Coturnix japonica: one gene and its partners. The protein of the gene in region 2 interacts with the protein of the main gene of each other region in a pairwise test. Links are inferred from orthologs where the notes say so. Each region holds a gene or a part of one and is shown on either strand. Other genes may lie near its edges. The genes, in order: FOXM1, BANP and PPIC.

The links.
Region 1: the proteins of BANP (region 2) and FOXM1 interact in binary tests that used the Homo sapiens proteins (3 or more experiments, as listed by UniProt). The link is inferred for Coturnix japonica from reciprocal best matches to the Homo sapiens genes BANP and FOXM1.
Region 3: the proteins of BANP (region 2) and PPIC interact in binary tests that used the Homo sapiens proteins (3 or more experiments, as listed by UniProt). The two-hybrid records come from large-scale screens. The link is inferred for Coturnix japonica from reciprocal best matches to the Homo sapiens genes BANP and PPIC.

Annotation. Positions count from the first base shown.
Region 1 is NC_029516.1:68,394,863-68,399,060, reverse strand, and holds the start of FOXM1 (forkhead box protein M1), read right to left. Parts: upstream 3,256-4,198; 5' UTR 3,142-3,255; intron 1,992-3,141; 5' UTR 1,945-1,991; coding exon 1,398-1,944; intron 282-1,397; coding exon 133-281; intron 1-132. UniProt on the Homo sapiens protein: Transcription factor regulating the expression of cell cycle genes essential for DNA replication and mitosis. Plays a role in the control of cell proliferation. Also plays a role in DNA break repair, participating in the DNA damage checkpoint response.
Region 2 is NC_029526.1:16,147,548-16,151,693, reverse strand, and holds part of BANP (protein BANP), read right to left. Parts: intron 1,105-4,146; coding exon 961-1,104; intron 1-960. UniProt on the Homo sapiens protein: Controls V(D)J recombination during T-cell development by repressing T-cell receptor (TCR) beta enhancer function. Binds to scaffold/matrix attachment region beta (S/MARbeta), an ATC-rich DNA sequence located upstream of the TCR beta enhancer.
Region 3 is NC_029547.1:66,535,402-66,539,647, reverse strand, and holds the start of PPIC (peptidyl-prolyl cis-trans isomerase C), read left to right. Parts: upstream 1-1,147; 5' UTR 1,148-1,185; coding exon 1,186-1,287; intron 1,288-2,542; coding exon 2,543-2,656; intron 2,657-2,932; coding exon 2,933-3,026; intron 3,027-4,008; coding exon 4,009-4,193; intron 4,194-4,246. UniProt on the Homo sapiens protein: PPIase that catalyzes the cis-trans isomerization of proline imidic peptide bonds in oligopeptides and may therefore assist protein folding.

The DNA of each region.
Region 1 (4,198 bases), on a different chromosome or scaffold from region 2:
TATTCAAATTGATAAAGGGAGTTCTCAGATTATTTGGAAATCATCATATCTAGCTCTCATAAGTCTTCAAATCCAGACTGATTTCATCCTCATCAAAAGTTTTAGCTTACACTGTTGTCCTCTCCTAATTACCTTCATTCTTTCCTGCAGAGGGATCTGGTTCTCCTTCTCCATGCCTTGTTTCACAGAACAGGGAGTTAGTCCTTCAGTTCTCATCTTCCCCAGCCACTGGATGTTAGTGAGACTATTATCCAGCACAGAGCTCACTGTGTCGCCACTGCCTGTTGGAAAAATAAGCCCAAAACTCTGCTTATTTACAAGTAACCCTCTTCCTTCACCTCAAGTGCCAAAAAGAAAGTACTAACATAGATATCCCTGTGTCAGGGTAGGAACAAGATGGTATTGCAAAGTTCAGCCTTCTTGTGTATTTACCTTGAATTACTGATTGAATGTGTATCTGCCCAATTCCTGAAAAAAAGCTGTAACGTTAAAGACAGAACAAAAACTAAAACAAACAAACATATCACAATATTCAAACCAAACGATTGTTCTCAGCCAAAACAGGACAGTGTTGACTCCAGTACTTTGAGTATTCAAGCATTTTTAGCTAAAGGATTAATTAAATAAACAAAAGTCAAGGAAGGTGGCATAAACTCCAACAGTAAGACTTACACACAACCCAAGTAGCAATCAAAAAGTCTCCATGGTTTCTGAACAGCAACAATAGAAAACTAATCTAATGTTGTATTGTTTATGGTGGGGTTGTTCTCAGTAATACAGCTACTGGAACTATCTATGGGTTCCTCTTAAACAGCATTAGCCTGTGGGATAAGATTTACCACAGCCCAAATCTACAGAGCAGTTTTAAATTCCAAATACAAATGAGATCTGAGAAGCAAGTCAAAGTAAAAATCAGTCCCATTTCTAACATTTGCCCATCAGCTTCAAGAGACAGCCAAGAAGGAAACAGTTGGAATTATTTTTCTTTCAAAGGCCTGTGCCCCTTTTGTCATTGACTGACTAAGGTACTTCATGCTGATACTGGAGCGCTGATAATGGAGTGACTCCATTCATGATTCCTTTGCCTCATATTTTGTTATTCTAGACCAGAATTCCCTCCAACTAACCCCACTTCTTTTTATCCGGTACCAAATTTTTGCTTTTTTTGCCTTTTTTCAAGTGCCAGGACTGTTTCTTTCAAAGTATATCCACCAAGATCCCTCAAATTCCATTACATATCCACAGCTACTTATTTGTAATTAATTTACATTTGTAAATTAATTTGTAATTAATTTAACGACTTCCACTACTGCATACCGAGATTCAAGTACTACGCTTATCGTCCCAATTTGCGTATCTTTATCCTTCAGAACAAGAAAAGTGTAAGGGTTACTTACTGTTCTCCTGCTTCTGTGCAAACGCAGAATCAGTTCCTGAATGCCAGGCCATTGATCCTCCTGCAGGATCAGGTATCTGTGATGTATTCTTCTCCCTTACTTGACTGTTTGCAGTCCTAGCCACTGTGCCAGGTTCCTCCACTGAGGGAAGGTGCTGTGATAGCACCAAACCTGTTGAACGAGAAGTTCCCCCAGTGCTAATGAGAATGAACTTATTGGGCCCATTGTTGCCACATTCTTTTCCTTTTGCTGTCAGGGCCTCTATGATGCTCTGGATATCCGCATTTGCAGGGATGGCCACCACTTGCGTGTTGGGCATGGTAGGATGGTTCATTATCTTTATTCCCTCTGGGAATTTCTGCAGGCCACAGCCTGTTTTGTCTTTGCATTGGCTGTCATTTTGGTACTCCTGGCTATGTTCCTGCTTAGGTGCATTTTCATCGTGACCGCTGTTCTCATCTCTTCCTGAAGTACTGGATGCCTCCTTCTGTAGAAGGGTCAGTTTCCTTCTTTTGAGAATTAAGGGCCTGCAAGGGCTGGTCCTCATTATTTATCTGTACAGTCACTCTCCATTGAAAATGAGAGGAACAAGTCCTGCAAAACAAAAACACAATATGAGTGCAGACAGTAGGAATAGATAAAAAAGGTCAACAAACACACCACAGGTCTTTCACAGCACTTATATTCTCAGCAATCCCCACGCTGCTAAAAAACAGAGAAAGAAAAACAAAAATGAAAGCTTATAATAAGGTTGACTAGGCTACAGGAAAATACAGTTCACCTCTTTATCAACAGCTTGTGGAAGCAGGATTCGCAGAGTAAATACTTGCATCAGAAGTTGAATGTCATTATGTATCTAATAACAAGGAAAGCATGTATATCTAAAGGATGAGAGACCTGGGACTCTCCAGTCTAGAGAAGAGAAGGCTGAAAGGGGATCTCATAACTCTTTATAAATATCTAAAGTGAAGGAGTGAAATTGATGGGGGCAGACGCCTCAGTGGCAAGCAACAATGTAACAACGGACAATAGGCAGAAACTGGAACAACAGGAAGTTCTATACTAATAGAAAGAAAGACTTGTTCACTGTCAGAGCGCTGGAATAGCCTTCTCAGGGGTGTTCTGGAGTCTCCTTCTCTGGAGATATTCAAGACCCGTCTGGATGTCTACCTGTATGAGGGATGCTAAGACTTAGCTGGGAAATTACTTGACCAGCATCAGCCAGTAAGCTGGAGGGATGAGAAACCAGAATACAGACATAGCAATCTGCTGTAAGCAACAGAACACAGCCTGACCAAAAATGGATTTAAGTGCTGGTATAAGACGTGGGAAACAGAAAAGTAGAAAGGAGTGGAGGACAAATGCAGGTACAGTAAGAATCACCTGGAAAGACACACAGTGGCAAACACCCATTAGATGAGCTCTCTATGAGCAGGAAGCACTGGGGCCAGAGGCTGCTCAGCAGCTGAAGGCCAGAAACTTCCTAAACAGGCCAAAAGCTGTTTTCAGCAGCAGGAAGGTGCTCACAGCTCTATAAAGCGATGAGAACGAAGCAAAAGAGCTCGTGATACTGAAGAACGAAGCAAGTATCCCCTCAAACCTACGTCACCCGCTGTAAACCACAACCCTCACTTCCCGGACTCTCAGACCTCACCGGGCCACGCAGCTCCTCACAGGGAAAGCCCAAACAACGGGAGAGCGCAGTACAACAAGGAATGAACGCCGAGCTTCGGTCCCAACTCACCCCCTCCCCAGGCGAGCAGAAGAGGCGCAAGGAAGATCCAGCTTCACCACCTGCAGCCCGGCTCGGATCCACCCCCCGCCATCGCCATCGGTTCCCTGTTTGAATTTGGCGCTCAGCGGTTTCTTGCCATCACGTGGAGCTCCGGGCCAGTGAAACGCAGCGGCGGGCGGGGCCGAGCCGGGCGGGCTGATGGGTATGTACTATATGGGGTGGGTGCTGAGCACGGTGGGGCTGTGGTCACCTGTAAATACTCTTAATTTAAGGGTCGTTATCCGCTTCGAGAGGAGTTATCCGAGCTGAGACTGTGAGGCTCCAACCCTACAGCCAGGTTTGACTCTTCTGTGGTTTGACTCTTCATCGCTGTGTGTTACCGGGAGGAAAGCGTGGCTCCAGCTGCCTTCACAGAGACCTCCAAGAGCATCTGGACTTCACTGGTTGGTGGATAATAAGGTTGTGTCTCTAAATCTTCTGGCATGTTAAGGGGGCTGGTCAGTTGTTTTGATAATATGTAGCAAGCGGTTATTATGTAGCTTTATATATTGAATAAGAAAATGTACTTCTTGCATGGTATTTTCTCACCAGTGTCAATCTGCTTCTACATGGAAAAATATCCTCGTACCATGAATATGCATGTATTCCCCTGATAAATAGAGATGTTTACCTCCTTTTGGTGTGCAGGCTAGGAAGGAGTTAACCCCCTGCACCCAGCCAGCCAAGTAACACGTACCTGCTCTACAACTACTTTGTGTTATAAAGTTTGTTATGCAACTCAGTGTGGCTGTTTACCATCACATGTTTGGTTGTGCCTTCATGAAGCTTTGAAGCACTTAATTACTCATTCTACTATATATATATATATATATATATATATGCTAAATCTGCCTGGAATCTGATAAAAGATATAAAAACTACTGGTAGGTAACAGTCTATATGGAGATCTGCATGTTATTGTACTAGTGTTTTGTTCAAAGTCTTTATCTGAGGTTTCTAAATAATTGTTCAAGTCCATTTCCTTTTATTTATTTTCTACAGATTTGAGGGTGCTTGAGCATCAAAG
Region 2 (4,146 bases):
CTGGATTTGAGATCTCCAAGGAGTGGAGTGAGGACAGCAGCATGGCAGGAGAGAAACACCTCTTGCTATCCAATACTTATATGCCTATTAGTTGCATGGGATGAGCAGTACTCTTGGTACTGCACAGCTTCAAGAAACAAGGCATGATCCATCAGCAACGCTCTTGTCGTCCAGCACACTATTACAAGTGACTGTGAATCGATGACTGAGGAGGCCTGAAAGCACAGAGACAAACCTAGGGAAGGAACGTGACTTCCTCCATTTCTTATGCAGCTCAAGAGATCCAACATCCAAATGTTTGCAGCCAGATCAGAACTCTCTGCAAAACTGGGTATCTACGTGACAAAATTCCCTTCTAAGATTGGTTGCTGAGGATAACATTATATCCTGGCTGGTAAGCCAATACATCTCTCACAAGCATTAGGGATTCTTTAGGAAAGGAGCCAACTCCAGTTGGGTTCATGGAACAACTGCTTCTTTTGTATGCCTGCACTGCCACCAGGCATGACTTTGGGCTGGTTCCAGCCTCAGCTACGTGACTCTTCAAACTGACCAAGGAAAGAAAGAAAACACACCTCCTCCACCTTAACTGAGCCCATCGAGTGTTCACTTACAATTGCATACATTGCAGCTCCTGTGGGAAATCCAGGCTGTGGATTAAAATAACTGGAAAACTTCTGTCAGAAAGAGAATAACTTTTTAAAGAGAAACCTCAGTCTGAAAAACACTTTTTGGATAGTTTCCGAGCCAGTTTTTCCTCCACGTCCTGTAAAAATGGCTCTCAGCCCTCAAGGATGCAGAAAAACAATGGTGACCAAAATAACTGTTCTCTGGGGGCAATGAGCAACAACGCCAAAGAAGGAATAGTCAATAACCACTATTTACCTTTAGGAAAATTATCTTAATAATTTGGCATATATATTTATATACACATATCTCTACACATATATGCAGGCATACTTGGCTGGTTGCAGAGTGGTCTGTCACAGGTGTGAGCTGCACATACTGGACTTGGATATCGCTGCCTTGCAGTGGGGATCCATCAACTCCTCCTGATGCAGGCTCGGCAGATGCAACAGCTATCAGCTGAGCACCCTGCAACACCTGCAAGCAGAGCAAAGGAGAAACAGCTTGTGAACAGGCACAGCCAGGAACGCATTAGGAAACATCGACCTGAAAACAGATGCAACAACCAAACATGATTCAACAGAAACTTGAGAAAATATGTACATCAGTAGCAGTTTAAATAATGTGGGTCCCAAGGAGGTGGTACACACATGGAAGATTCTCACATAAGATTCTCACTGCATTTTGCCTTATGAGACCTGTATTCCCTGGAAGGGTTAACGGGCACCACACCTGGAAAGGTTTGGCTCCCTTATGATCCTAAACACAAAGTAAGTCATCCCCTATCTGTATCAGCACTAGCAAAGGAATAAATCATCCTGGTGGCCTGTGCTAAATAGGTCCATTTTAATTCCAACTCATTCTAACAACAGTTAGCACACTAAGTCACCAGTCCAATTACCACGTCTATATTCTCTGAGTGCATCCAATTCCCTACCTGCAACCCAAGCAAAAGCAAGGCTTGTAGACTTAAGAAGCCAAAGAGAGGGAAAAACCAAAGCACTGATTATGCTGTATAGTTTGTAAGCATGAGATGGTCTGTTTCACAGCTTGCAGCTATGAAAACTGATCTGTTTATTCTGCCAGCCGGCAGATGAGCGCAGCAGCTCCATCAGCTCAGGTTCCTCATAGGATGAGCTCTGCAGCCACAGCACTGAACTGGGGGAATCTGCTTTAGAAACCCCTTCTACTTGGTTTTATGATGGCAGAAAGAGAGAGGGTGGAGGGAGGGGGTAACAAAAGGCAGACACTGAGTTCACTTCTAGCATCCTCACACCTTCAGGTTGAAGATCAGAGGGTAGAAGCCAGGTTTGCTGGGAGGAAAAAAAGGAACTTGTTCAGTTTTGCTTGCTTGCTGCTGTCTCTTTGCACGGAAATATTGCGCTCCCGTGGCTGGGAAACATTTCAAAAGAGGTTTTTTTGGCCAACTGCTTCCAACGAGAGATAGTGGCTTTCCTAAGGAGTGGGCTGTTACCGCCCTCATGATAAATGACACCTCCCTAAGCGCTGCAAAAGATAATTGATGAAGGGTTCATAATTCTGCTAATGATTATTGCAAAGGGTAAGTGGGACAGACAGAGCAGTCAGCGCTGCTGTAATGTCAATAGCACACAGCCACCCCCCAGCTAATGTGTTCACTGTTATATAAATAGAGAGACGGAGCCAAGATACTTATTCTCACAGCCAAACACATTCAACTTATGACAATTTGTTGCAGCAATGTTTATCTTCCCATTGTACACGAAGGTGTAGATTTACAAATTACTGCTAATTAATGCTCGCAGCCACTGACTCTACACATCTTCATGCTGGCTGGTTGAGGCTGGGTCCCCTGTTAGCCAAAGAGCAACAAAAGAGCAGATGCTTCACCCAAAATCGCTTGCTTAAATGCATCCCTGTGACGAGAGCGACTGTAATTTACTACTTAAGTACAACTCAGAATAAAATATACATATGTGAACAACAGCAAGTCCCCCGATCTCATTTCAAAATGCAGCCAAAATACACAAATTCCGTTTAGGTTTCTATATGCTGTGAGCGCTGTTTTGTTTTTAACTACCTCTGGTATTTGAACCACAGCGCTCAAAAGATGCCTTTCAAACAGAGGAAAGAGAACTGAGAGCAAAAATAACATTCTGAACAAAAGCTTCCCTTACCCAAGTATGATTTCCCAGCTGATGGGAGGGTGGGTGGCCGTGAAGGAGTGGGCAGCACAACCCCTCCCTGGGGAGTGTGGGAGGCCAAGAGGTGACCCCTAGGAAGGACCTTTGGGGTGTTGGCAGGGTTTTATGGGGATCTTGGGTGTTCCGAGATACGGTCAGCACTGAGCTGCAAAAGGATGCTGCGTTCTGTTTTTACAGGAGCAAGCAAAAGCCTCTTGTCCTGCACTATTTACTTTGGAACGACATGATACGCCCTGTCAGAACTACATGGCAGTCTGTCCTATTGATTATCCGCAGCTCTAAAATGCATCTTGTCTCATTAACTTCCAAAGCACAAACTTCAGGATGACTTCAAGCAACCAAACCAGCCCCTTTCATGCACACAAATTGCTTTGACAACAAAGAAGCCTACAGCTGCTAACAGCACCAGCTTCCCTGTCTTAGGATGTGTAAAAGGACAGAGTTCATACAGCAGATCCAAACGGATCCAAACAGACCCCCTCTAATCAGGGAGAGCAAGCTTACCAAGATAAAAGCCCCAGCCCTATGACTTCAATCTGCCTCATTTCATATTGTTTATATATTGTTTATATATAATATATTCGTATTCACATTCCATTGTGTTTGCCAATACCACAGGTTTTATAGGGAGGCTGCAAAAATGACAGATATCAAGGGATCAATGGCTTTAAGTAGAGCAGTGAAGGAGTGGTAAAACAGAGACCTCAGCAATAGGGGCAGGTGTGAGGATATGGCTTTTCTTTGGCTGCTCACTCGGCTCCCAGACCAACACATCGACTTTGTGATTCTTACCTGCCCTTGACCTTAAAATAAAGGAGTTGTACCACAAAAATTAACAGTCTGCCCTGAAAATGAACCTCTGAAATGAGCTCTGCTGGGCTCCTCTAACATCCTGCCTCGCTGCTCCAAAACAGGTAACAGAATATGGTTAAACCGAAAAATAATAAACTTTCCTTCTAACAGAAGGGATTAATTCGTGCTCTGGACACCCACAAACAAGCAGCTCAGAGGCAGCTTCCACTTGCCTTTACATACCCCTCTATGCAGATGCAAAGTGCTCTTCAAGCACTGTTGGTGGCCTGGCCTGATCTTCCCAACCTTCCCATCTCAATGATGATAACACTGCATGGTGAACCTGCTGTACAACCCACCTCAACTACAAAGCACCATAGAACCCCATCCTCCACCGTACCCAGCAGCTCTCAGAAGAAGAAAATGTTCCCTTACTCCTTCTGAAAGAACACTAAGCGTGTTTCTATTAGTTTTGATTTTCAACCATCCTAGAAATACCAGAAGGAAAAGTATTTTGCTCAGCTGTTTATAATGAAGTGTGAAC
Region 3 (4,246 bases), on a different chromosome or scaffold from region 2:
GCTACACAGCCACACAACGCCTGCTCTAATAATTGAACCATTGGAACTGGGGTTCTTTCAGGTATAAAGGATGAAGGTGGCACTGCAATTAAAAGCTACACAGCCACACAATGCCTGCTCTAATACTTGAACCATTGGAATTGGGGTTCTTTCAGGGATAAAGGATAAAGGTGGCACTGCAATTAAGCCACACAACGCCTGCTCTAACACTTGAACCATCGGAACTGGGGTTCTTTCAGGTATAAAGGTGGCACTGCAATTAAAAGCTACACAGCCACACAATGCCTGCTCTAATACTTGAACCATTGGAACTGGGGTTCTTTCAAGTATAAAGGATAAAGGTGGCACTGCAATTAAGCCACACAACGCCTGCTCTAACACTTGAACCATTGGAATTGGGGTTTCTTAGTGCACAGGAATGACAACCAAGGCCTTCCAGTTACCTCTGTCAGAGGTAATGTATCTGTGTGTCCCACTGCAATTAAAAGCTACAGAGCCACACAGGTCCTGCTCTAATACTTGAACGATTGGAACTGGGGTTCTTTCATGTATAAAGGATAAAGGTGGCACTGCAATTCAAAGCTACACAGCCACACAACGCCTGCTCTAATACTTGAACCATTGGAACTGTGGTTCTTTCAGTTATAGAGGATAAAGGTGGCACTGCAATTAAGCCACACAACGCCTGCTCCAGTACTCGAACCATGTGAACTGGGGTTCTTTCAGGTATAAAGGATAAAGGTGACACTGCAATTAAGCCACACAACGCCTGCTCTAATATTTGAACAATTGGAACTGGGGTTCTTTCAAGTATAAAGGATAAAGGTGGCACTGCAATTAAAAGCTACACAGCCACACAACGCCTGCTCTAACACTTGAACCATTGGAACTGTGGTTCTTTCCGGTATAAAGGATAAAGGTGGCACTGCAATTAAAAGCTACACAGCCACACAACGCCTGCTCTAATACTTGAACCATTGGAACTGTGGTTCTTTCAGTTATAGAGGATAAAGATGGCACTGCAATTAAGCCACACAACGCCTGCTCTAACACTTGAACCATTGGAACTGGGGTAACAGGTAACGCATCCGTGTGTCCCCCAGCTCCATCCCCGCTATGATCACACCCATCCCGGCTCCTCCCCTCCCGTTTGCTGACGCAGGCGCCGCAGCTCCGAGTGTCGCCATGTCCCTTATTCGGACGGCTCTCATTGCCATCCCCGTTCTCGTTCTGCTTTCTGCAGCAGCACAGGGGCTGCGGAGGAGGGGACCGAGTGTGACAGCCAAGGTGACTCCGTGCCGGGCCGGGTGGGAGGCGGTCGGTCTGTCGGTCGGTCGGTCGGTGTGCGCTGTATTGGACCGCAATGCCGAGCCCGGGGAGCCCCCCCGGCTATATTTCCCCTTGCTGGGGCTGCCATTGCTTTGCAGTGACGTGTACAGCCGTGATGTGGCTCCTCCTTGCAATCCCGGAAGGCAATGTGACCGCTGTGCTCACTATCACAGCCATTAATTACTTCTATGCCTGGAATTTGGAGGCTTGACAGCTCCTTCCCTTCTTAATGGAGTCTAGTATTCCATCGTAGCCCCCTGTTCTGCCAGGTTGGGTGTTGGAAAACGTTTCCTAACGTTGCATGTACAAAAGGGGTTTTGATGTGCTGCTCTGCCACTTGCAGAGCCTCCAGTTTCAGCTCTGCCTCTCTGCATGCCCTGTGCATGCATTTGATAGTGCTATAGCCTGCAGGCATCGCTGGCAGCCACCAGCTGCTCTTCCTGATCGAGATTTCCATATAAAACATGGGGAGTTTAGAAAACCTGCACAGCTTTGTTTCTTTCTTCTCTTCATCCATACCTAAAGATAATTGACTGCAAAATGAAGAGAGGTGCATTTATAAAGATGCCAGGAAATCAGTTTGTTTGGGAGCCGCGCATCTAACAAGTATGTTATTTGGTGCCAAGGAAATGGATGAGGTGCGCCAAAAGGAATGTTGTTTTCTTTATGGGATGAGGTGCACCAAAAGGAATGTTATGTTCTTTATGAAGCTGCTGTAATGTTAGCCAGGAGATCCACAGTCAAAAACCACATGGAAGATGAAGAAACAGTAGGAACGTTTGGTAGGAAAGCATAAAAGAGGCATTGACATTGGTGAAGCTGATAGCTTTTATGTAACTTCTTCGAACGCCTCATTTCCTTACAGCTGCTCCTAATTGTTTGAACATTTCTGCTGCTCATAGACAAACTCGGATATTCTGAACTATGTTAAATGCCTCTTAACTCTTTGGTCTTTGTAGCAGCACGCATGTAGAAGCCTTTGGGCAGCCAGCTCTACTGCAGCCTGGTTCTTCCTCCAGTCTGTTCTGGGTTGTTATGTGGGGAGTGGACACCGTGCTGGAGCAGCAGGGTTTTCATCCCACTTTTTCCCCATTGCATAACCTGGGTTTGGAAGCTGGAAGGAAACCAGCACCTGAGGATTGTAACATTAATAGTGAGGTTGCTTCTTACTGCTGTTCTTGTTTGTATCTCTTTGCTTCACAAATACATCCAGGTGTTCTTTGACGTGAAGATTGGAGACAAAGATGTTGGCAGAATTACAATCGGGTTGTTTGGAAAGGTTGTCCCCAAAACGGTGGAGAACTTCATCGTGCTGGCGACTGGAGAAGTAGGTTTGCAGTTCTTTTGTGCGCTAAGGTTTGGAGTGGGAAACGAGTATTTAAGTGCCACTTTGGTTGTGAACCATACACTTCAACTCAGTGCGGTCAGTGCAATTGTGCCATTCCCCATCCCCAAGGCTCACCTGCATCTCACTGCTGTTTGTTCCTTGCCAGCATCTGGCTCAGGAAGTGGTGTGTTCTCCTATAGCTGACCACACACCGCGTGTGTATTTCCATACCGCCGTACAGAACTGTGTGTTACATTCATTATTTCGTTTTCTCAGAGAGGGTACGGTTACAAAGGAAGTAAATTTCATCGTGTGATCAAAGACTTCATGATTCAAGGAGGGGACTTTACAGCTGGAGATGGGTCAGGAGGTAACATAATTTCTTACTTTTGGCTTCTCCTTTCTGTGAGGGTGTACTGAAAAGATGGACAAAAGAGCTTTTTCCTTCTTTCTTTCAATACATGAGAAAAAAAAGCACTCATCTCCAAACCATGGAAGCCTCCATCATTCCCCTGCTCTGCTTTGCAACAGCGCTGCTTCCCTGGGGCACTCATTGAATGCATGTTTGTGCGGATCAGTTCCAGTCACCCAGCAGCAAACTAATCTGTGATAAAGAAAGGAAAGCGTGTTGATAGAAGGCAGGTAGGGGAAGAGCAGTCTCACCTCTCTTGTCCTCAGCTCAGCATCTCTTGCATTGCATGCATTCTGGCCTGATTTCTTCTCTTCCTTTACACGCGTGTTCATCAGGTGCTACGATTTGAGCTGTCTGCGTGCAGTGTTAGTGATTTCCCTGCTGGGACAGAATGGAAAACATTCCTTTTCCTTGCAGCAAACAGTGGGAAGGCTAAAATACCAAAGACACAGTTTTAGCATTGAAGGTAGGCAATGTTTGTTTGCCTGCTAGTACTGTTTGTTGGGATAGCAACAGCATTCTCTTGTCAAAGTTACAGTGTTTTAACCATGAATAACGTTTTCTCTTATTAACTATTTTAAAACACCAAAATTCTTATGTTTCTGCAGATACACACAGAGTACACCAGCTTCCCTAGCCTTAATAAACGTGGCTAAGGTGAAATACCGTGCAGAAAGTGTTGCAGAAGTACCAAAGGTGTCTTAAAACATGGTTACCTTATTTTTAGCAGCCACTTTGATGTAGTTTGAGCTTGCTGAGATGAAGTACACTGCTGCTCAGTGATGTATTTTAGCAGATACTGAATTTGCTAGTTAAATTCAGAGGCTAGAGCATCACAAGCTTTAAATATTCTTTCCATGTATATGGTGTTTTTTTTAACAAGATTGTGCGTTGTTTGTTTTTATTACTTACTTAGTTAATATATTTTTTTATGTCGAAGGAAGAAGCATTTATGGAGAAAGGTTTCCAGATGAGAACTTCAAGCTGAAACACTATGGAATTGGATGGGTTAGCATGGCTAATTCTGGCCCAGACAGCAATGGATCCCAGTTCTTTATCAGCGTGACAAAGCCTTCCTGGTTAGATGGAAAACATGTAGTGTTTGGCAAAGTCCTTGATGGAATGGTAAGCTGAAAGAAAATATTCTCCTGCATTATATATGTAACTTAGAACTATCT